Linked DNA regions of Elephas maximus indicus. The protein of the gene in region 2 interacts with the protein of the main gene of each other region in a biochemical or structural test. Links are inferred from orthologs where the notes say so. Each region holds a gene or a part of one and is shown on either strand. Other genes may lie near its edges. The genes, in order: TNFSF13B, TNFRSF13B and TNFSF13.

Region 1 (7,052 bases), on a different chromosome or scaffold from region 2:
TCCAAAATAAATGCCAGAAGGGCTAATGAGTTAAAAATCAAATAATAAAAAAGCCAGAGGAGAAAATATTAGTAGGACAGACTATTTAAGAGATCACAAAAGAATATTTTTAGCTTTAATGTCTCAGAGGAAATATTTACACCAAATTTTTGATAAACAATACGTCTAATATATAAATAGTTCATTCAAAACTGTAAAACATTAAGCCAGACAAATGGGGGAAGTTATAAAATCTGCAGAAGACAAAATTTGAAGTAATTAAAATATGTGGAAGGAAGTTCATTTTTGTTAGTAAGCAAACAAGTTAAAACAAATTTCAGATACTGTCGTACAACCACTAAACCAGAGAAAATAACTTTTAAAAGATAAAAATCTAGAAAGCATGTACAGAAAGCAGTGGATTAATTTGCTGTTACTTGCATTTACGACTCTTTTTGAAAGCAATGTGGCAATAGCTTGCAAGGGTGGTAAAGATCTTCATTCCCTGCAGCTCAGAAATTCCACGGTACCGAATTTATATTGAACATATAATTCTCAGAAGCATAATATATCTGCATAAAAATTTTAACATGTTCTGTCATAATAAAAAAATAAAAACAACCAGCATAACAACAACCAAAAAAAAAAAAAAAAAACCACTGCTGTTAAGTCGATTCTGACTCTAAAAAAATAAAAATAAAAACAACCATAGTAATAGTAGAATAAAAAATAAATTAATGTACATGTATGAGAATCACTTAGACATAGGGAAAAGTCCTATTGTATGATGATAAGTGAAAACAAAAAACATAAAACAGTATATATACATTATTATTTTTAACTTTGTAGAAAATATAGACGATAAAATATGAAAATAATTGACCTGTTAAAGTCACAACAGTGTCTGTGTTTCCTAGTTTAAAAGTGCTTAAATCCAAGTGTTAACTGATAATTGGCACAAAGGTATGATAATTAGGTACATAATGTTTTGATTTTATAAAATAAGGGAGAAATTTTTTCATGAGCAAGTCATAGAGTAAAAGAAGAAATAGATTTATAGTCAAAGCACTGTGTGTATGTGTGGGTGGGTGGGTGTGTGGGTGGGTGGGTGGGTGGGTGAGTGGGTGGATGGCTATGTAATAAAGAGTCCTTCCCTAGTCTACCACTGACTAGGTCTCTCACACACATTTCCTCACAAGAAAAAAAAGTAAATAAATAATTACATGTGTTTTGTTTACCCCACACAGTCACTGCGAGGGTTAAATGAAATAGTATGGGTGAAAACACCTCTTCTAATGCCTGCACATTCTAGGTGCACACACACACAAACACACACACACAAAAAACGTTCTTTCAACATCAAAGAGAGGTAATATCAGGGATTTGTTAACTTCCTAAATTGTAATATTAATACAATCCAGTACTCTTCCTTAACCTAGGAAGTAAAGGAACTAGGACTGATCACTTTAGTACTCCCTCCTGACTCTGAGATTTTATAAATCTATAAATCCTGTGGAACATAAAGAAAGACAAAAATCACAAAAGAACTATCACAAGAAAAGTATAAATGCATGCTCTCGGAAGGGCATACCTTAACAAAATGTTTTAAAATCAGTGTATATATACATATATGGAAGCCCTGGTGGCATAGTGGTTAAGTGCTATGGCTACTAACCAAGAGGTCAGCAGTTCGAATCCACCAAGCACTCCTTGGAAACTCTATGGAGCAGGTCTACTCTGTCCTATAGGGTCTCTATGAGTTGGAATCGACTCGACAGCAGTGGGTTTATATATATACCCACACACACAATATATAGGTACATATAATGTATATGTATACATGTATATATATAAATGTTTTAAAAATGAGAAACAAAATTAAAGCACAGACATACACGGCCTCCCACTGTATAACCTTCACCTGCTTTCAAATAGTACCCCTCAGGAAATGTTTGCCTTTAACAGAATGACTCAGGTAAACAAAACATAATTCTAAAGTGACATGAAGTGGAGAGATTTTATTTTTGGAGGGATGGGCGATGCTTCTGGCATAGGGGTGTAGTGTCTGTTTGAGGAAACTCTGCGTTCCTTGTTTTCTCCTCTGTGCTTCAAGTACAGCTCGGATAAATACTTCTGTAGACAAAACTCTGCTCATTGGAAGACAGAACACGCCGTGCACCCTATTAAATCTGCCCTTGCTAGGGCTTTGCTATCAAGCCGAGTCTGGTTTTAACAGAAATTGCATAGTCTCTATTTAAGAGGCTTGGAGAGATTAAGCACACCCCTGTACCCCCAAATCTGATGTTAACACCTAAACCAGTAAACGCATCTGTCCCCAAAACCTACCTGTTTCTTCTGGAGTCTGAACAGCACGCTTGCTCCTGCTGCTTTGACTGGAGTTGCTGTCTCCTGGGGCTGGTGGTGCAAAGATCTCCTATTGACAGAAAAACCCCAAGTTATTGAAAAGACGTCTGAGGTCAGGGAGAGGCAGCTGTGTAGGAAGATTTGGGGCTGCAGCTGCTGGTAACTCACTTGCAGTCCGGGGGTGTCAGCTGGAGTTTCCCTCAAAGCTGCCGTGGGGGCTCCTGCTTCTGCTTTGGGGGGTGCTGGCAGTTGCTCAGCTTGGTAGAACTGCAGTTTCGCCCGGAGGCTCAGCAGCTCTGCTTGCAGGGTGGCCACTCGGTAGAAAGACACCACTGTCAGGCAGGAGGAGAGCAGGGCCAGCAGCAAGGTCACTGACAGGAGCTTTCCGTCTTTAGAGAACCAAGCAGAGGGGCTTTCCTTGTGAGGGAGGATGGGAACACACTCCTTAAGTTTCATTTCTTCTCTTTTCGCAAGGCAAGAAGAAAGGAGTAACTGCTCCCTGTCTGTGCAGTCATCCATTTCGCTACTTGAGCTTTGAAGGTTAGGGCCTTCAGAGTAAGTGACCACAGGGAATGGATCATTTCCTGTTATCTGTGTTTGTTGATGTCCTACATTTAACACATCACAGAGCTTGACTCCCCCAAGCAGGAGAGTTCTCCTGAGTTTTCTTCTTTCTTCCCTTCTGCATCTCTGCCCCTACGGTACAATAGGTTTTACTGGCATTCACCCTTCTAATGGATTGCTCAATCAGTCTTCCTCATTTCAGTTTCAGTTTTTGTAAGAATTTTATTGGCATCTCAGAACACTCATACACAAACGGGCCCCTAAATCTACCAGCTAAACTTTGAGTTTGGATTGGGATATGCAAGAGATAACTTGTCAGATTATACACATGCTTAAGAAGCTCACCCCGGGCATTATGAGAGAACTGTGTTGGTTGGGGCCATGTGGCTTTGGAAGGAAGAGGAAAAATATCATAAAATGTTCCTGCTGGCGTAATAAAAGCAATTAATGTGAAGGTCAGATAAGCTAAGTGCTTGAGCAGTGGCTTGTCCTTACATGGGGTTATGGATTTATTAACAGTTGTCCACTACGAAGTAAAATGAAGGACCCTTGAAAGAGGAAAGAAAACCAGCTGGGTATTGTTCTGTTCTTCTTATTATAACAATGTAATCCAAAGAATGTGACTAACAAATTTTAGAAACCGATTTAGATTAGATGTGAGGGGGAATGCATTTTTAAAGGAAACCTACATATATATATATATTTTTTCCTTCTAAGGCTCCCTGGCTAGGTGATCAATGATCCATGCAATCTGACCTCCTGATAGGTCTCCTTCCACCTCTGCTTCGCAAGTTTCAAGTCCCAGCTCAGTCTGATACTGTTTTAAGATGAAGCTGGCCTTATCTCCAATTCCCAGTAGCTCAATGCCACCCTTACAATTCTTTCCTTAAAGTACACTAAAAAAATTAGCTACTAAAAAAAAACACTCAAACCAAACACATTGCTGTCGAGCACATTCCGACTCATTATCTACTAGGTACACGTCGTATTGACTCTGGCCCAATCTAACGCACATGAAAACGGTCCCGACTCAAACAAGAGACACTTTCCTTTCAAACTCACCTTATTGTCAGACATGGTGACGCTGCCCAAGACTATTGCGCCCATTCCAGTCCTGCCTTGTCTTGATCTCTGTTCCCTGTCCATTTCCCAGTTTCTGGCTGTTCTGTCCTCAGCACCTAATATTGATTCATCACTCAACAAATATCATTGAGCCCTTACCAAGCCCTGGGGTAGGCACTACCCCCCTGTATGCTAAGACCGCTAAGCCTTAACTCTATCTCATTCGCATTTCTATGCTGTTGTGAAGAAAAGAAAATTAATGTAGGGAAGGATTCGGATCCCTGAATCCAGGGTTCTAATCTTGGCTCTACCACTTATTCACCTTAGGCAAATTAAACGTTTTTGTGATTAAGCTTCCTCATCTGTAAAATCAGATAATAATGGTCACTCTCTCTTGGGATTGTAACTTAGGCACGGACAGCATTGAGGATGCAAAAACCTTTTCATTCATTTTTACTTCTTACTTTCAAAATATAAATGTAATATTTTTATTACAAATACTGCTGTAATAGGCATTTTTATATATGTCTCCTTGTAACATTTGAAAGAATTTCCAAAATAAATCCCTGATGTAGGGGAAACAAGGGCACCGGTGGTGCAGTGGTAAAGCACTCAGCTGCTGATTGAAATGTTGGTGGTTTGAGCCCACCAGTTGCTTTGTGGGAGACAGTTGTGTCAGTCTGCTCCCATAAAGATTACAGCCTTGGCCGTGGGGACCACAGTCTCAGGGAACATCTAGCTCAATTGGCATGGCATCGTTTATAAAGAAAATGTTCTACATTCTGCCTTGGTGAGTAGCGTCTGGGGTCTCAAAAGCCTGTGTGTGGCTACCTAGGATACTCCAATGGTCTCACCTCTTCGAGAGCAAGGAATAATGAAGAAAACTAAAGATACAAGGGAAAGATTAGTCCAAAGGACTAATGGGCCACATACATCTACCACAGCCTCCACCAGATTGAGTCCAGTGCAACGAGATGGGTGCCTGGCTACCACCACTGACTGCTCTAATGGGGATCACAATAGAGGGTCACAGACAGAGGTGGAGAAAAATCCAGAACAAAATTCTAACTCGGTAAGAAAAGACCAGACTTGCTGGCCTGACAGAGACTGGAGAAGCCCTGAGAGTATGGTCCCCAGGCACTCTTTCAGCTCAGTAATGAAGTCACTCCTGAGCTTCACCCTTCAGCCAAAGATTGGGCAGGCCCATAAAATAAAAGGAGACTAAAGGGGCACACCAGTCCAGAGGCAAGAGCTAGAAGGCAGGAAAGAACAGAAAAGCTGGTAATAGGGAACCCAACGTTGAGAAGGGAGAGTGTTGACAGGTCATGGGGTTGTTAACCAATGTCATAAAACAATGTGTGTACTACCTGTTTAATGAGAAACTAGTTTGTTCTGTAAACCTTCATCTAAAGTACGATAAAAAAAAAAAAATTACAGCCTTGGAAATCCTACGGGGCAATCCTACTCTGTCCTATAGGGTCCCTATGAGTCAGAAACTACTGGACGACAATGGGTTTGGTCAGGTTCAGGTGGGGTAAGCACACTTTCAGTCTTACCAATTTTCTCCAAGTTACCCTCCAATGTTTTCCCATTTCCTAGCTACCCTACTCTTGCACGATGTCATCAGACTTATTAGTTTTTACCTGTCTATTGGCATTGTTACTTATTCCCTTGGCTTCCACAAGTTCCAGAGATCTTGTTACTAACTTGGTGCCCCAAATAAGCTGTTCTCTAATTGTTCAGGTAGAAGTCTTCTTTTATCAGTATGTAAACTTTTTGGAGTCAGACATCACATAAAACAATTCTTTTGTCACAGTTCTTGTTTCTAGGTTAATCAGGGTGAGGCATATTGGATAACATTGTAATTAAAAAATAGAATTCATTTGAGCATTTTATTACACACTTCTGACTTGACACTCATTCAGGTTGTATTTATAAAACTCATTGCCGTCGAGTGGATTCTGACTTATGGCGACCCTATAGGACGGAGTTGAATTGCCGCATAGAGTTTCCAAGGAGCGCCTGGTAGATTTGAACTGCTGACCTTTTGGTTAGCAGTTGTAGCTCTTAACCGCTACGCTATCAGGTTTTCCATATATGTATAAATGCATATATATATATGTATATATACATACGTGTGTGTATATATATATATACACATACACATATATACATACGGAAGCCCTGGTGGCGCAGCGGTTAAGAACTTAGCTGTTAACCAAAAGGTCAGCAGCTCAGATCCACCAGCTGCTCCTTGGAAACTCTATGGGGTGGTTCTACACTGTCCTATAGGCTTGCTATGAGTTGAAATTGACTCGACAGCAACGGATTTGGGTTTATATATATATATATATGTATGTCTATATATCCACACGCATATAGATGGATACATATAGAACCAAAACTAGAAATGAATTCAGGATTCAAGGCAGTAACAGAAACCAGTTACTCTCTACTTTCCACTCATAAGCCATTGAGCCATTGTTTTTCTCTGTGAGTGGGTGCTCTCCCACTTCTGCCTGGCCAATCCTCTCCAGTAAAATTCTGAAGGAAAGTGAATTAATTTAATTGTATTAGAAAACTATGTTGCCCTCTTTTGCTCAATTTGGCAAATATCTTCCTGTGAAACCAACTCAAGAGAGGGCCATTGGCTGGCGTATGTTCAGGCCATTTTAAAACAAGTGCTTGGTTCAAGCAGTGGGCAGTTCTGCTCAAAGAATAGGCCAGTGCTCCTCTGATGGGAAGACGGCTGTGAAGCTCCCCCCTGAAGCAGACACTGGCAAGCTTGCCCTACAGTTTGCATGTCCTCTACAAAGATCACGCCATTAAATTTTCTCTAAAAGCAGTCAGAAAACTAAGGGGGCATTCATGCTCTCTTAAATTTCTCATTAGACAAACGAAAGGAAGCTATTACTCCCTGAATCAAGGAACCGCTTCCTGTAGGGGAAATGGTTTGATAATAATTTAACTGAAATTCTGTTAAACCAACAGTATATTCATATTCATTGAATAACACACCGCAAGTTTATTCTCAGAGAAAAGGCTACTATACCTGAGCTACATATTTTAGAGTAAAATATATA
Region 2 (7,245 bases):
ACCGCCCCCATGCCATTTGTACAGGTGTTCATTGTACTTGACTTTTAACTTTTCTCTATGTTTCAAATTTTACATAATAAAAGTTTTGGGGAAATTTTTGAAAATAAGAAAGTAGCTCTTCCCCACGAAAGGCTGAGGCTGTTATTGTAAAGAAACCACTGTTCGCTCTTTGAAGTGCGTCTTGCTAATGGCATCTAGTGTTTCTGAGAAATTAGTACACATCGAGGGGACGGGTACATTAGCAAAGGAGGAAATTCACTATAGAAAAATGAGTCGTTTATGTAAATTTCAATCATGAAAATCAGGGCTTTCACTGCATTTCTAAGAAATAGCCCTTTTTGGGTACTTTTGCTTTTGTCCTACCTGTAGTACTCCATTAGAGCAGGTTCAACAGCACGGCTTCAAAAAGGCCACAGAGGTGGCAGCAAGCCCCGGGAGAGATGGGAGGAGGGCGGGAAAGAGAGAAAAACACTCCCTGCTGCCTCCGAGAAGACCACGACACTTCGATCAAGTATTGCAGACCCTCTTTTGTAAATATGAACAATTTCATTGGGAAATATTGGTTAAAATGTAATATTCCCTTTGACCAAGTAATTCCACCTCAAGGAATGCAAGCCATTCAGTGAGATGCAAAGAAGATAAAAAACATGTTACGGGAGCATATGGGAAGTGTTGGGAACAGTGCCTGGAACATAATAAGTGCTGCACAAATGCTCCCTATCGTTACTATGCCTGCATTTTAAGAACTCTTATAAAAAGTAAGGACTGACTGGCAGGGTATACTGAGAAAAGAAGCGTGCTAAACAGTGTGTTCAGTCTGGTAATTGTGTAAAATGGTCGCGGGAAGGCAAAACATAGAAGTTACATACACGTATTTGAGAATGTGTGGGCTTGGCTGGAAAGGCGAGTGAACAAGAAAGATCTTCCAATAGCTGTTGCTGCTGAGCTGGGAAATGGCAAGCTAGGATTCCTGGAGGGGAGAGAAAGATACTTTTCACTACATTCGCTTTCATGCTGTTTAATTTTTTTTTTTTTTACCATGTGCATATTTTAACTATTTAAGTACATACGTCAATGGATCGGCTCCCAAATCTTGAGGTCTACCAGGTATCTTTACTCTGGGTCCCAAAGCTCTTTTGTCATCTCAACCATGGAGTTTAAAATTAGAACCTGTACCCCCTGGGAGATAGCCCAGAAAACGTTGGTTTCAGAATGAGGTTTGGAAGATTCAGAATGAGGTTCAGAAACCTCTGGCACCTGTTCTGAGGGAGCCCGGTGCAGAGAGGAATCTATTTTCATCAGACCTGAGGTCTGAGCATCCCTCGAACAACAATAGTCATCATTCCTTATGTTTGTGTGACAATGGGAGGGTGCCCACAAGTGCTCCCCTCTGGGTTGTCCTATTTGAGCTTTGCTTTGATCTCTTTGACACATCAGAAGAAAGTGCTCGTCTTAGAGTGAGGCCCACAGAGATTCAACAACTTGTCTGAAAAAGTCACGCAGCTTTGATCCATCTGGTCTAATAAAATCTATTATCAAGAGAAAGAAGCTGGAAAAGGGGAGCAGACGTGTTGTATGACCCCGTTTATACGAAGCTCAGGAACAGGCAAAGTGAATCCACGGTGAGTGAAGCAGGAGAGTGGCTATGTCTAGGGTGGGTGAAAGGGGGACAAGGGAGCATTCTGGGCCTGCGAACGTCCCACATCTTGGTGTCACAGACTCTAAGGTTCCTAAAGCTGTGCGCTTACAATGCCGGCACTTCGCTGCATGTAAATTATACCTCTAATTAGAGAAAATAAAAAGCAAATAAAACCCATTCTCTCTAAACCACATTTGAACTTCAGCAAGGTGTGATCGACGACGAGACATTAGGGAAACTACCGTTCAATTCTCAGCCACCCTAAAAGTCCAGCTGGACTTTGCTTGTTTTTCATTTCACATGCTAACACATGCTAACTCTAAAACACCCAAACACTATCACATTGACCCACAATCTGTGTGGGGTCAAAGGCAGCAATCAGCCCAGTAAGTCCGAGATTGGAAGGCATATTTCTGCTCCACAGACAGGAGTTTTCTAACAGGCAGAGCTAACCCCCAGGGAGCTGGCTTTTTGTGAGGTGGGCAGAGTCCCGACCCTAGGGGTATGCAAACAGAAGGTAAGGAGGGCCCAAGGAGGGACCAGCAGATGCTCTGGGCTCATCCAGTTCCAACAGGCAATGGATCTACCACCACCCCTTGCTCACAAATCCATCCCACCAGTCCAGCTTATATATCCACTGTGGCTTTTATGACTTTCACGACACAAATAAAACATGAGTATCTTTTCCAGGTAGAAATCAAACGGTTAAGAACAAGGCTAAAGTCCCTTTCACCATCACCTTCAATCCTAGCTCCTTCTTGCTCTACCCAAAATGGCCACTGTCATCCTGTGTGTCCTCCCAGACTGCTTCCTCCACATCGCATTCATCATAAGTAGTCACAGAACACACAATGGCCACATTGTGTGTGTGTGTGTGTTTACTAAAAGGCATTATGCTGTAAGTATCATGCTATATAGCTACCTTTCTTCACTCAACGATACGTCCTGGTGATCTTCTTATATCCCTTCCACTGGTCTACTTCACCTTTTAAACAATCGTGTGGAATTCCTCCTATGACCTGTGTACCTAGCTTCTTTAGCCGTCCTCTACCGGGTGGGCATTGAGATTGTTCCCAGTTTTCCACTATTACCAACAATGCCCCAGTGAAAGTCCATGTGTAGGGGCGGCGTTTCTCAGGGCGCTTATAGAGGACAGAAGGTTGCGGGTGGGTGAGCACAACCTGAGTTTTAACCAGCCTCCAAAATGGCATGCAGACCTGTTCTGTCACCAGCTGTGCATGGGTTCACCACTCCTGTGTCACCCAACCACCTGACGTCGACAGACTTTAAACTTTGCCAGCCCGATGGACGAGAAATAGTTTTTTCATTATTGCCTAAATTATATTTTTCTGATTATCGACAAGGTTGAGCACGTTAATGTACTTCCCCTCCTGCTCTGCTCCCTGCTATCCAAATTGGCCTTGTGTCCCGCCCTGCTTCCCCCACCTCTGCTCCAAGCCAGCTGCTCCTGGGAGGACTTCCCTCATTGCTCCCCACCTCTCTGGCTCTTGCCCATCCTCTGAGATTTCTTCCTCACTGCCTGGGGCTCCCTGGCTTCAAATCCTAGCACTTCAGCCTTGGCCGTTGCTATAGGGGGAGGGAGCGTTTCAGAGTAGTTGGGAAGACATAGAAATATACAGAAAGTCACAGTACGCTGCCTCATGGGCTGCAGTATATGAATCCTCATCATCGTTTATTGAGAGCTCACTGTATGCCAAGAGCTGGTTTTAAGAACTTGATGGTACTAACTCTTTCATCCTCATAAACCTATGAGAAAATGGAAGCACAGAGTTTAAGCAAATTGCTCAAAGCCACCAGTGGGTTGGGGACAGGGCCAAGATTCCAACCGAGGTCTCAGACTCTAGTATTGAGCCTTGAAAGTGCTTTGGTGGGGTAAGGGTAGGGCTAAGCAATCAGAGAATGGGCATCTGACGTGTCCCAGGGCAGTCAGGGAGGGCTTCCCAGGGGAGGTGATACCTCAACTGAGCCTAGAAGGAGCAGGGGAGGAGCTGGCCAGGCAATGCCATAGGAAAAGTTGGTCCAGGCAGAGGAAGGGGCCTGAGCAAATGCCCAGAGACTAGAGAGCTACTCAACCTGTTGGAGCTGGAGGTATGTATAAAAAAAAACCAAACCCAGTGCCGTCGAGTCGATTCCAACTCATAGCGACCCTAGAGAACAGAGTAGAACTGCCCCATAGAGTTTCCAAGGAGCTCCTGGTAGATTCGAACTGCCGACCCTTTGGTTAGCAGCCATAGCACTTAACCACTATGCCACCAGGGTTCCGGAGGTATGTATAAAAATATAGTAGGTGGCAAAAGGTGAGGCCCATGAGTGGGCAAGGGCCAGGGTTTGGAGAGTTGTGGGAGCTGTACCAGGGTTTGTATTTCATCCCAAAGCGAAGGCCAGCCTTCATTTCTCTACCTGCTTGGTGGGTAGCACACAGTAGGTGCCCAGCAGACGTCCTGATGGGAACCCTGAGTGTGAGGCAATGTCCACCCACCTTGGCTCCTGAGACTGAGCACGCAGGCGCAGGGAGAGGTGCTGATTTACATTTGGTAGGTTGCGGGGAAAACCCAGGAAGTACAGCCCAGGCACTAATCAAATCAAAGACTAATAATAAACATCCTGAGTAATGAGTGGCCTCGGCTGGAGCCGGCACGGCGTCCGGAGCGGGGCGGGCCAGGAGGAGCCAAGTGAGTAGCCTGCTAGGGCCTGCAGCTGGGGTCTGGGAGGCAGGGGCTGTGGGGGAGGAGGGTGGCTGGGCCTGGAGTGCCCAGGTGTGGGTTAGCAATGGGTGGCGGTGGCAAGGACAGCACACAGGGATGCTTGGGCAACCCTGAGCCTCCCCAAGCCCCTGCATGCTGACAGCCCCAAGTTTGGGGGCCTTCAAGGTGCAGGTATGAGGCTTGTATTCCAGGTAAGGAGGGGGCCGAGGCTTGAGGCTCAGTCATTGAGGCAGGAATTTCCACTGTGACCCTCCCTTCTGAGCCATGCAGAGGATCAAGAGCCAGGGCAGTTTTTGAATATTTTATTTTCGTGTTGAAATTTACACGCACCCCTCACCCAGCTTCAGCAATGAATCATTTATCCCGTAGAATTTTTACCATGGAGAGTTTTAGAGGCTTATTCAAAGGATAAATCACTAAAGCAGATGAAAGTCTGAGTCCTTCGTGGCACAGTTGGGACCTAGCCCCAGAGGGGCCGTCAGGGGCCCCAGGCCTCGCAGCAAGCATGCACGCCCTGGCCCCTGCTGCTGGCCCCTCTCCTCAGGCGGGAGCCTGTCTTTTCTCTGAGTCTCCTTTGTCTTCAGCAACCACACCCCCAGACATGCACCCAGGCAAGGGCTCAAACATAGAAAATTTCTGAGAGAGACAGTGGCCAGAGACTGCTGATGACGCAGCATGAAATCGCCCGGGTCCAGGCCCAGGTTCAGGGGACAGCCAGAATGCTGACTGCCTGGAGCAGCAGTGTCAGCTTTGGCCAGAGTCTGGAGACTTGCTTCTAAGGCTGCTGCCCACAGACTCACTGTGAGACCTCGGACAAACCCCTCCCCGCCACTGTAAAATAAAGATAAGCCCCTGTCCCACTAGATGTTCCTCAAAATCAAAAAAGTCCTTTGCATCTGCCAGGGCCCCTCTGGAAGAGTCCATAGCAAAGGCTCTGAGGAGGTCTGTAGTAAACAAACAAATAAAAATGCTTGGACTTCCTTGAACTGGGGTTTTCTAAGCTAATGTGACAGCAGGGCTCTTTGGTTAACAAGCCAAGGCCCTTCAGGAAACATGGTAGGTGCTCTGAGAATCCCCCCTCTTTGCTGCGCTGGCCTCACTGGTGCAGCCAAGTCTCAATCCCCATATCTCAGGCATCTGTCCTGTTTCTGAGTCCTGGCTGTGGCCCGGAGTCTGAACCAGCCACAGGCTCAGGTGTGCGAGAAAGAGTTTTCTCTGTTCCTGGTACAACAATGGAATTTGTTTCTCAAGCTTCCATTCTGTTTGGCTGGGGTCAGTCTTGGGGTTTTCTTGCTAGTCTGTGGGGTTGCAATATGCTTCTGGGATTTTACATGTTCCCCGGTGGTGGCAGTGGGAGAAGGAGCGGGACTGGGACCCTCTGGTTATCCGGGCACTGTGGGTGGTGCCTTTGTTGGCTTCTAGGCCATGAATGGAAAATTTGCTAAGGCTGTGTTTGTCCCATCTAATCTGCTGTCCACCCAGTCATGGGCTTGCACTGGGGTCGGGCATAGGCAACAGCTCTCTCCTTTTCCCCACTCAAATTGGGGAAGGAGCAGGGATCTATCTCTTTTTTCTTTCGTTTGTTTTTTAAATTTACTTTTTTAATAGAGAGTATAGTCTCACTGTTTGAAATATGTATGTGTTTATATATGTATATATATATATATATATATATACCCACACCCTTTGCTGTTGAGTCGATTCCGACTCACAGCAACCCCATAGGACAGAAAAAAACTGCCCCATAGGTTTCCAAGGAGTGGCTGGTGGACTTGAACTGCTGACCTTTGGTCAGCAGCTGTAGCTCTTAACCACTGCACCATCAGGGCTCCGTTTGAAGTATACCAAAAACCAAACCCACTGCCGTTGAGTTGATTCCGACTCATAACAACCCTATAGAAAAGAGTAGAACTGCCCCATAGAGTTTCCAAGGAGCGCCTAGCGCATTCGAACTGCTGAGCCCTTGGTTAGCAGCCATAGCACTTAACCACTACACCACCAGGGTTTCCATTTGAAGTAACACCAGGGTTTCCATTTGAAGTATAGAAGACATATAATCAAAGTCTCCTGTCTTAGTTATCTAGTGCTGCTGTAACAGAAGTACCACAAGCAGATGGCTTCAACAAACAAAAGTTTATTCACTCAAAGCCTAGTAGAAGTCTAAATTCAGGGTGTTAGCTCCAGGGGAAGGCTTTCTCTGTTGACTCTGGAGGAAGGTTCTTGTCATCAATCTCCCCCTGGACTAGGAGCTTCTCCGCACAGGAATCCTGGGTCCAAAGGATGCACTCTGCTCCTGGTGCTTCTTTCTTGGTGGCACGAGGTCCCTCCACTCTCTGCTCGCTTCCCTTTCCTTTTATCTCTTGTAAGATAAAAGGTGATGCAGGCCACACCCTAGAGAAACTCAGTTTACATTGGATCAGGGACGTGACCTTAGTAAGGGTGTAACAATCCCACCCTAACCCTCTTTAACATAAAATTACAATCACAAAATGGAGGATAACCCCACAACACTGGAAATCATGGCCTAACCAACTTTACACATATTTCTGGGGGACGCAATTCAATCCATGACCTCTTTCTTCCCTCCTTGTCCTCTATCTGCCGGGTTCCTGCCTCCCCTAGGATAAACAGCTTTGAAATATCACTTATATACCATAAAGTCCTTCTATTTCAAGTGTACAATTCAACGTTTTTTAGTATATTTACAGAGTTGTGCAACCATCGTCATATCTAATTTTAGAATATTTTTGTCACCCTAAAAAGAAACTTTGTCACTCTTCATTCCTTCTTGCTCTTCTCTCTGAAACCCTGGGCAACCACTGATCCTCTTCCTGTGTCTATAGGTTTGCCTATTCTGGACATTTCATAGAAATGGTATCA
Region 3 (7,275 bases), on a different chromosome or scaffold from region 2:
GATGGGGCATAAGGCTGGAGAAGAGGACAGGAGCCAGGTCACAGGTGGGATATGAAGTTAATCTAAGGTGAACCATTCGAAGGATTAAAGCAAAGAGAAGCAGCTCAGATCACTCTGACTGTGTGTAAGGAATAACCAGGAGGAGGTAAGGTTGGAAACAGGAAGTCCCAGTGAGAAATGGCAGGGACCAGGCTGGCAGGGGGGATGGGGCAGAGTTATGTAGGGGGCAGGATTGATAGGAGCTGGAGATCAATGAATAAAGTTGGTAAAGGAGAAGGAGGCTTGGGTACCCGGTGGGTGGAAGACTATGAGCTCGAAGTGGAATACAGACAGTAAAGCAAGTTTGAGGGGGATGGGGAGGAGACAAGTTCAGTTCGGGTCCAGATGAGTTTGAGGAGCCCATGGCTAGTCAGTTGTATGTAGCCTGTTGTACATAGGGTCTCTGTGAGTCAGAGCTGCCTCAAAGGCACCTAATAGCAACAACAACGTGGCTAGTCAAATGGTGGTATTAGCAGGAAGAGAAAGAACAAGAAATAATGGAGTTAGGCATCTGGAGTCTGCACGATGTAGATCATGGTAAACCCATGGGTGGGAATGAAAATGTCCAGTGAGAGTACCTGGCTTGAAAACATGTCAAGGACAGAGCCCAGGGGCTGGTAGAGGGAGAGGGGCTGGAGAAGGCAACTGCAGAGACTCCTTGAGGCCCAGCCAAGGAGAACCGGGAACAGGCTGTGGCCATGTCCAGCATGTTCCTAGCAGTGTTTACTGCGTGCCTACCTGGCGCCTTAGGGTAGACAGTGGTGAATAAGACAAGGTTGTCCCTGCCCTATGAGTCTGAATTGACTTCATGGCAGTGGGTTTGGTTTTTTGGTTTTGTCTCTGCCCTGGTAGGGGAATCACATCCCAACTGAACACATACATAAATGAAATAATTTCTGATGTTGATGACTGAGCTGAAACAGGGTGATGGGAAGAGATTAATGGAGGCAGGAGTGGGCCTGGCTATTTTATACTGGTGGCCACAGAAGGTCTCAGACCGGCTGACACGTGAGGGATAGAAGGTGCCAGCTCAGGGAAGAGTGATGTGGGGAGAGGGGAGAGTAGTAAGAAGCTCATTAGGGAGAATGGGTTTGGTGTCTGGCAGGTACAGAAAGGCGGCCAGAGTGTCTGGGCTATCGTGAATTGGGAAGTGTGTGAGATTGAACTGGAGAGGCTGAAAAGGGTGGACCATGGAAGACCTGGGAAGGCACTTCTTTTCTTGTAATTTACAATTACCCTAGCTCTAGATTTTTTTTTTTTTTTTTTTTTTGGGTGAGAGCTTTATTGAGAGAGAATTCATATCCCACACAGTTCACCTATTTTAAGTGTATAATTCAGGGGTTTTAGTTTTTAGTATAGTCACAGAGTTGTGCAACCATCACCACCATCAATTTTAGAACATTTTCTTCACCTCAAAAACAATCCCCATACCCTTTAGCTAGAGTCCCTGGGTGGTGCAGATGGTTAAGTGCTTGGTTACTAACCTAAAGGTTGGCGGTTCAAATCATCCCAGAGGCACCTCAGAAGAAATGTCTGACAATCTACTTCTGAAAGATCACAGCCATTGAAAACCCTATGGAGTGCAGTTCTACTCTGACACACATGGGGTCGCCATGAGTCAGAATTGACTTGACGCAGCTGGTTTGGTTTTTACCCTTTAGCTATCACCGTCCAATTCCCCTATTCCTCCCTACCCCAGGCCTACTTTCTGTCTTTAGGAAATTACCTACTGTGGGCATTTCGTACAGATGAAATCATACAACGTGGCTTTTTGTGACTGGCCTCTTTCACTCAGCATATTGTTTTCAAGGTTTACCCACGTTTGTAGCGTGTGCCAGTACTTTATTCCTTTTTATGGATGAATAATACTGTTTTCCACTGTATGAGTTTTTGACATTTCATTTATCCATTCATCAGTGGCAGACATTTCTGTGTCATTTTATTTGTAATTCTAATAATTCAAATAACGTATGAATATAATTTCAAGGTAAAAAGGCAAGCAATGTAGACATAGATGAGGTAAAATATAAAAGTCAAGTATTAACTATAAAAGTCCCCCCTCTTCTTCAATCCTACTCTTCTCCCCAGAAGTGACCACTGACGGTAACTTGTTCTGTATCTTTCCGGTCCTTTCGTCTGCATGTTCAATCATACACACGTTAGATTTCTACACAGAACTATTATACTTTGGGCTCCATGGGAATTGGCTCCTCCTTTTGCCCTGGGTGATCTTTTTATCTTCTGGGTAAAGTGGGCCCCAAATGTTTATAGAGTCAGCGGATCCCTGGGGAGTGTGGGGGAGCTTTCCTCATCTCTGAACATCGATGTTCAGGTGTGGACGGGACGGTGAGTGGCTGGGAGGAGGCCAAAATCAACAGCTCCAACCCGCTGCGCTATGACCGGCAGCGTGGGGAATTCAGAGTCACTCGGGCTGGGCTCTACTACCTGTACTGTCAGGTAAGCCCCACCTGGCTCCATGGCCAAAGCAGTAAATGAGGGAGAAGGTTTGGTTCCGGAGAGGGGGGGTAAGCTAGAGGCTGGAGAGGGAGAGCTTGGGGCTGGAGGCGGGGATGGGCTACCTGGGTCTCTCAGGAAATTTGAAACTGAGCTGAGGGCAAGCAAAGGCCTGGACTCTGCCTGCCCTCCCCCTGCCCCAGGTGCACTTTGATGAGGGAAAGGCTGTCTACCTGAAGCTGGACTTGCTGGTTGATGAGGCCCTGGCCCTGCGCTGCCTGGAGGAGTTCTCCGCCACCGCGGCCAGCTCCCTTGGGCCCCAGCTGCGCCTCTGCCAGGTGTCTGGGCTGTTGCCCCTGCGGCCAGGGTCCTCTCTTCGGATCCGCACCCTCCCCAGGGCCCATCTCAAGGCTGCCCCTTTCCTCACCTACTTCGGACTCTTCCAAATTCACTGAGGGGCTCTGGTCTCAAAGTTCTCCCAGGCTGCTGGCTCCCCACAGCACTCCAGCCCCAAACTGCTCCTCACTCCAGACCTCCTCCCTCTGGAGGCCTCGGGCTTGTTCACTTGTTGCCATCCCACATACATAGCCCCATTCTTCCCTTACAGTCTCGGGCTCTCCACCTCACAAAGCCCTGGCCTTTCTACTCCCCCATTTATCTCCTGACTCCCACCCTGACCACGGCCCCCAGGACACTGTGTTTACTGTACTCTCTGGGCAAAGATGGGTCCAGAGGACCCCTCTTCAGGCACTAATCGGGGCTGGACCTGGTGGCAGGAAACCGAAGCGACTGGGACAAGGCCAGGTGTCCCCAAATGTGAGGAGTAGGAGACCAAGACCAGCTCCACCTTGATGTGTCCCTGTGGATTTTTAGAACAGATATTATTTTATTATTATTGTGACAAAATGTTGATAAATGGATATTAAAGAAAATAAGTCATAGTCTCTCTCTTTATTGGGGCCTTGGGGGGGTATTCTAAGGGTAGCCGAAGACCATGGGAAGCGGTCTGGACTTCGGGGCCTACATGCCTCCTGCCCTGAGGCTTGAGCCAGAAGAAGAAAGGCCAACCGCCTAGGAAGAAATCACTCTATGCCAAGGTGCTGCCAAACTGGCCTCATTTGCCTAGGAGGCGGGCTTCCTCCTGCGGGGGAATCCCTGGCTGGGAGGAGCAGGGCCCTTCCTCTTGGCCATCTGGGGACCTTTGGCAGAAGCTGGCGAAGGTCCTGGCTGGGATTTGGGGTGGGAGCAGGCCTGAAGGGGGCCCAGGACACAGGCACACGGACCCTGGGTCCAGAGAGGAAGCCTACAGTGGCTGGAGTGCTTGTGCCTGTCTGTTTCTCTTTCTCTTTTCATCCATAGCATTATGTAAGAGTTTTTCTCAGGAAACAGGAAGTCTCTTGCTTGCCAAGTTCAGCACAGGGAGCAGTACAGGCCTTATTCCAACACACCCGGCCCGGCCTTAACCCCAGGGCTCAGCCAGTCTCTGGCTTTCGCGACCCTGGTTCTCCTCCCCACCCACCCATACCCCTCCTGCCCCACCTCAGTCACCTGTAGAAACTTCCCCAGAGATCTCCCCCACACCTTAGCCAGATGGTCTACTGTCCTCGCCCCTGACCCTCAACACTGCCAACTTGTCCCTCCATCCCTCCTCCTGGCACCATGCCCCAGAGCCGCCAGCCCTCCCTCCCCCACTTCTGGGGCCGCCCCGGGCTCCTGCGCTCAGGCCGCTCCCCCTGGGTGTCACTGGCAGCCCTGTCCTTCCGAGAGAGACCCACTCCAGATTCTCCTCAGGCTGGGGGAGGGGGATAGGGGTCTGAGAGGCAACACTGGCCCCACAGAGGGGTGCCAGGCGTACCAGACAGTACCCCTAGCTTGCTTTCCTCTTCCCTCTTTTTATCCTCACGTTGTTTTTATTTCTCCTTTGCGTAACACCCTTCTTCCCTTCTGCACCGGTGCCCGCACCCCCATCCTCGCTGTCACCTCCCTGCCACCCCACTTCTGAGGCCACGGCTGTCAGCAGTATCCCCAGCTCATGCTGGCCTCGTCTCCTTCCTCAGTAGCCCCCCGGGGCGACACGGGCGGCCCAGCTCGAGACCCGGCACTCTCAGTTGCCCTCTGGTTGAGTTGGGGGGCAGCTCTGGGGGCTGTGGCTTGCGCCATGGCTCTAATGATGCAACAAGCAGAGCTGCAAACCCTAAGGAGAGAGGTGAGCCGGCTGCAGAGGACCGGAGGACCCTCCCGGAAGGGGGATGGGCAGGCCTGGCAGAGCCTCTGGGAGCAGGTGAGTGAGGGGAGAAGGGTGTCTGGGAGAGAAAGATGGGTGGCAGAGGGTTTCCGGGCTTCTTCAGTCCTGTCTCCTGGTCTGCAAAGCTACAAGAGGGTGTAAGAGAGGGTCCCGGGTCTGGAAGTCAAGGGAGTGGCCATTCCAGGAAAGGAAACTGTTAAAGATTAATGGTTCTCATACCTAACAGATCCTGGAGGACAGCCAGCACCAAGACTTAGGGTGCTGGGGAAAGGTGCATGAAAGAAGTGAGGCATTCGTGGGGTGGGAGGGAGGGCTGGAAGGAAGGCTGGCTGGGACCCTTGCATCTTTGTCTAACCCTGACCCTCTTTCCATGAACAGAGCCCTGAGGTCCTGGAAGCCTGGGAGAATGGGGAGCAATCTCGGAGGAGGAGAGCAGTGCTCACCCCAAAACAGAGGAGTGAGGCCCCAGGGGTGCCGCAGGGGTGGGAGGTGATCAAGCAGCATGGAATGGGGAGAGGGGAGAATGAGAATAGGGCAGCAGGGGTAAGTGGGCCCTGCTGAGATTTCTTCTTCTCTCCTCAGAGAAGCACTCAGTCCTGCACCTTGTTCCCGTTAACATCACCTCCAAGGGTGAGCACTGTTTTAAATAATGGCTTTGCGGGAGAGGCAGGAACTGGGGGATTTGGGGCTGGCATCTGGGTCCAAGTGAATCCATCAAGTGTCTGAGACTGCACAGAAACCCTGACTGCCACACTTCTCACCTCCAGAGGACTCTGATGTGACAGAGGTGATGTGGCAACCAGCTCTCAGGCGTGGTAGAGGCCTGGAGGCCCGCGGATATGTGGTCCGAGTCTGGGAGGCTGGAATTTATCTGCTCTATAGCCAGGTAACTGGCATACCCTGTACCTCACCTGGGGATCCGGAGGTCTCTTCCCTGTTCTCCCACAGCCTGGATGGCCCGGTCCCTTTGTCCATTCCAAGCTTAGAAGACCGTTCTTCATTCCTTGCCTCAGGGCTCCTGAGACCTCCTAGACCTGGGCCATGCCATTCCGTTTTATCTCCTCCCTGCCCTACCAGGTCCTGTTCCACGATGTGACTTTCACCATGGGTCAGGTGGTATCTCGGGAGGGCCAGGGAAGGGAGGAGACTCTATTCCGATGTGTACGAAGTATGCCCTCCAACCCTGCCCGGGCCTACAATAGCTGCTACAGTGCAGGTGAGAAGCATGCAGGCAGGGGAGTGGATGAGAGGAGAGCGGGACAGGTCTCTGATCTAGTGGGACTGATGCAGGGCTCTATGATTGGGGTGGGAGCCCTAGGTGGAGAGGCAGTTGTGAGGTTCTTGCAGGAAGCAGAGGAAAGGTGGAGCTGCAGAAGGGAGGGGGAGACATCAGACCACATGGAACGATGGCTGTGCCTCACTGAGCATCATTTTTCTCCCCTTTCTTAGGTGTCTTCCATTTATACCAAGGGGATATTCTGAGTGTCATAATCCCCCGGGCAAGGGCCAAACTTAGCCTCTCTCCACATGGCACCTTCCTGGGGCTTGTGAAACTATGATTGTGTTATGAAAGGTGGGTCTGAGCTTGGAAGACCAGGGTGGGTATATGCTGGAGATAACCAAGAGCTGACCAGAGGACTGGGAATGAGCAGGAACAGAGGCCTTTTCCTGACTGTGACTTCATGACTCTCCGGTCCTCCCTTTTCCTTCCTTCCCCACTCCCAGGCCTATGATTTCTTGGATATTAAAGAGCTAGAAGATCTTGCTTTTATGCCCCGTCCAGGGGGGAAAGGGGTCAATCATTGTCCTGACCTGCTATGGGTCTCACTGGATGCTTCCGGAACGGCACCACCATCTAGCGGCAGTTTGAGGGAATCATCCTGCCTGTTGGTAGAGGTCCACGAAGCCTCTCTCCCAACACTTAGGAAAGCCCCTGGTGCCCTATGCCACACCCCTTTCGAGGTATCCTGCCTCTTCGCACCGTAAGAAGCCTCGTCCTTACACTACCGGCTACTACGTTCCATACACTTTCTCCTCTCCATCTACTGAGCATCAGTTTCCATCCCTATCTCCAGAGGTGCATTTCTTATGCACTCCTTTGCTGGGGGTACCCGACGACGGTCCCTTCGCAGCCACATTACTTTTCGGGTCCCAAATTTTAGCTTTCATGCTCTCCACTCCCTTGGCGTGACAGGCCACTCCAAGCCCCTTTGGCCTAGGGTGGGTCCCTGGGGAGCCCTGGATGGATCGCACGGCCGGGTGCTGGTCTTGCCTTACTCCTCGGAGCGGTTCTTTCTGCTCAAGCCTTGCTCAAAGTTAAATAAAAGACAATGAATGATAGATACCCCGGATTCATTTCCCCCACTGCCTCGCCTCAGTCCTATTCCTGTACCGGCATTTCCCTGTCCTCCCAACTTTCCTCTCGCGCGCCCTACTGGACGAAGGTATTGGGGGCCCCCAGGATCAGAACCCCACCAGCGCAGACAAAGTAGGGGTAAGTAGCGGGTCGTGAGGCGGTTTCTGGCACGCAGACGCAA

What was found.
Region 1: the proteins of TNFRSF13B (region 2) and TNFSF13B form a complex in vitro, tested with the Homo sapiens proteins (3 studies listed by BioGRID and IntAct, with this or other methods). The link is inferred for Elephas maximus indicus from reciprocal best matches to the Homo sapiens genes TNFRSF13B and TNFSF13B.
Region 3: the proteins of TNFRSF13B (region 2) and TNFSF13 form a complex in vitro, tested with the Homo sapiens proteins (2 studies listed by BioGRID and IntAct). The link is inferred for Elephas maximus indicus from reciprocal best matches to the Homo sapiens genes TNFRSF13B and TNFSF13.

The regions. Positions count from the first base shown.
Region 1 is NC_064841.1:73,993,744-74,000,795, reverse strand, and holds the start of TNFSF13B (tumor necrosis factor ligand superfamily member 13B), read right to left. Parts: upstream 3,053-7,052; 5' UTR 2,863-3,052; coding exon 2,512-2,862; intron 2,414-2,511; coding exon 2,326-2,413; intron 1-2,325. UniProt on the Homo sapiens protein: Cytokine that binds to TNFRSF13B/TACI and TNFRSF17/BCMA. TNFSF13/APRIL binds to the same 2 receptors. Together, they form a 2 ligands -2 receptors pathway involved in the stimulation of B- and T-cell function and the regulation of humoral immunity.
Region 2 is NC_064820.1:215,783,410-215,790,654, forward strand, and holds the start of TNFRSF13B (tumor necrosis factor receptor superfamily member 13B), read left to right. Parts: upstream 1-4,238; 5' UTR 4,239-4,271; coding exon 4,272-4,332; intron 4,333-7,245. UniProt on the Homo sapiens protein: Receptor for TNFSF13/APRIL and TNFSF13B/TALL1/BAFF/BLYS that binds both ligands with similar high affinity. Mediates calcineurin-dependent activation of NF-AT, as well as activation of NF-kappa-B and AP-1.
Region 3 is NC_064837.1:13,215,048-13,222,322, reverse strand, and holds TNFSF13 (tumor necrosis factor ligand superfamily member 13), read left to right. Parts: upstream 1-4,187; 5' UTR 4,188-4,525; coding exon 4,526-4,774; intron 4,775-5,116; coding exon 5,117-5,195; intron 5,196-5,320; coding exon 5,321-5,368; intron 5,369-5,505; coding exon 5,506-5,624; intron 5,625-5,815; coding exon 5,816-5,954; intron 5,955-6,187; coding exon 6,188-6,297; 3' UTR 6,298-6,311; exon of another isoform or gene 6,312-6,463; 3' UTR 6,464-7,078; downstream 7,079-7,275. Other genes in the region: TNFSF12 (tumor necrosis factor ligand superfamily member 12), read left to right, coding at 2,372-2,496, 2,697-2,948. UniProt on the Homo sapiens protein: Cytokine that binds to TNFRSF13B/TACI and to TNFRSF17/BCMA. Plays a role in the regulation of tumor cell growth. May be involved in monocyte/macrophage-mediated immunological processes.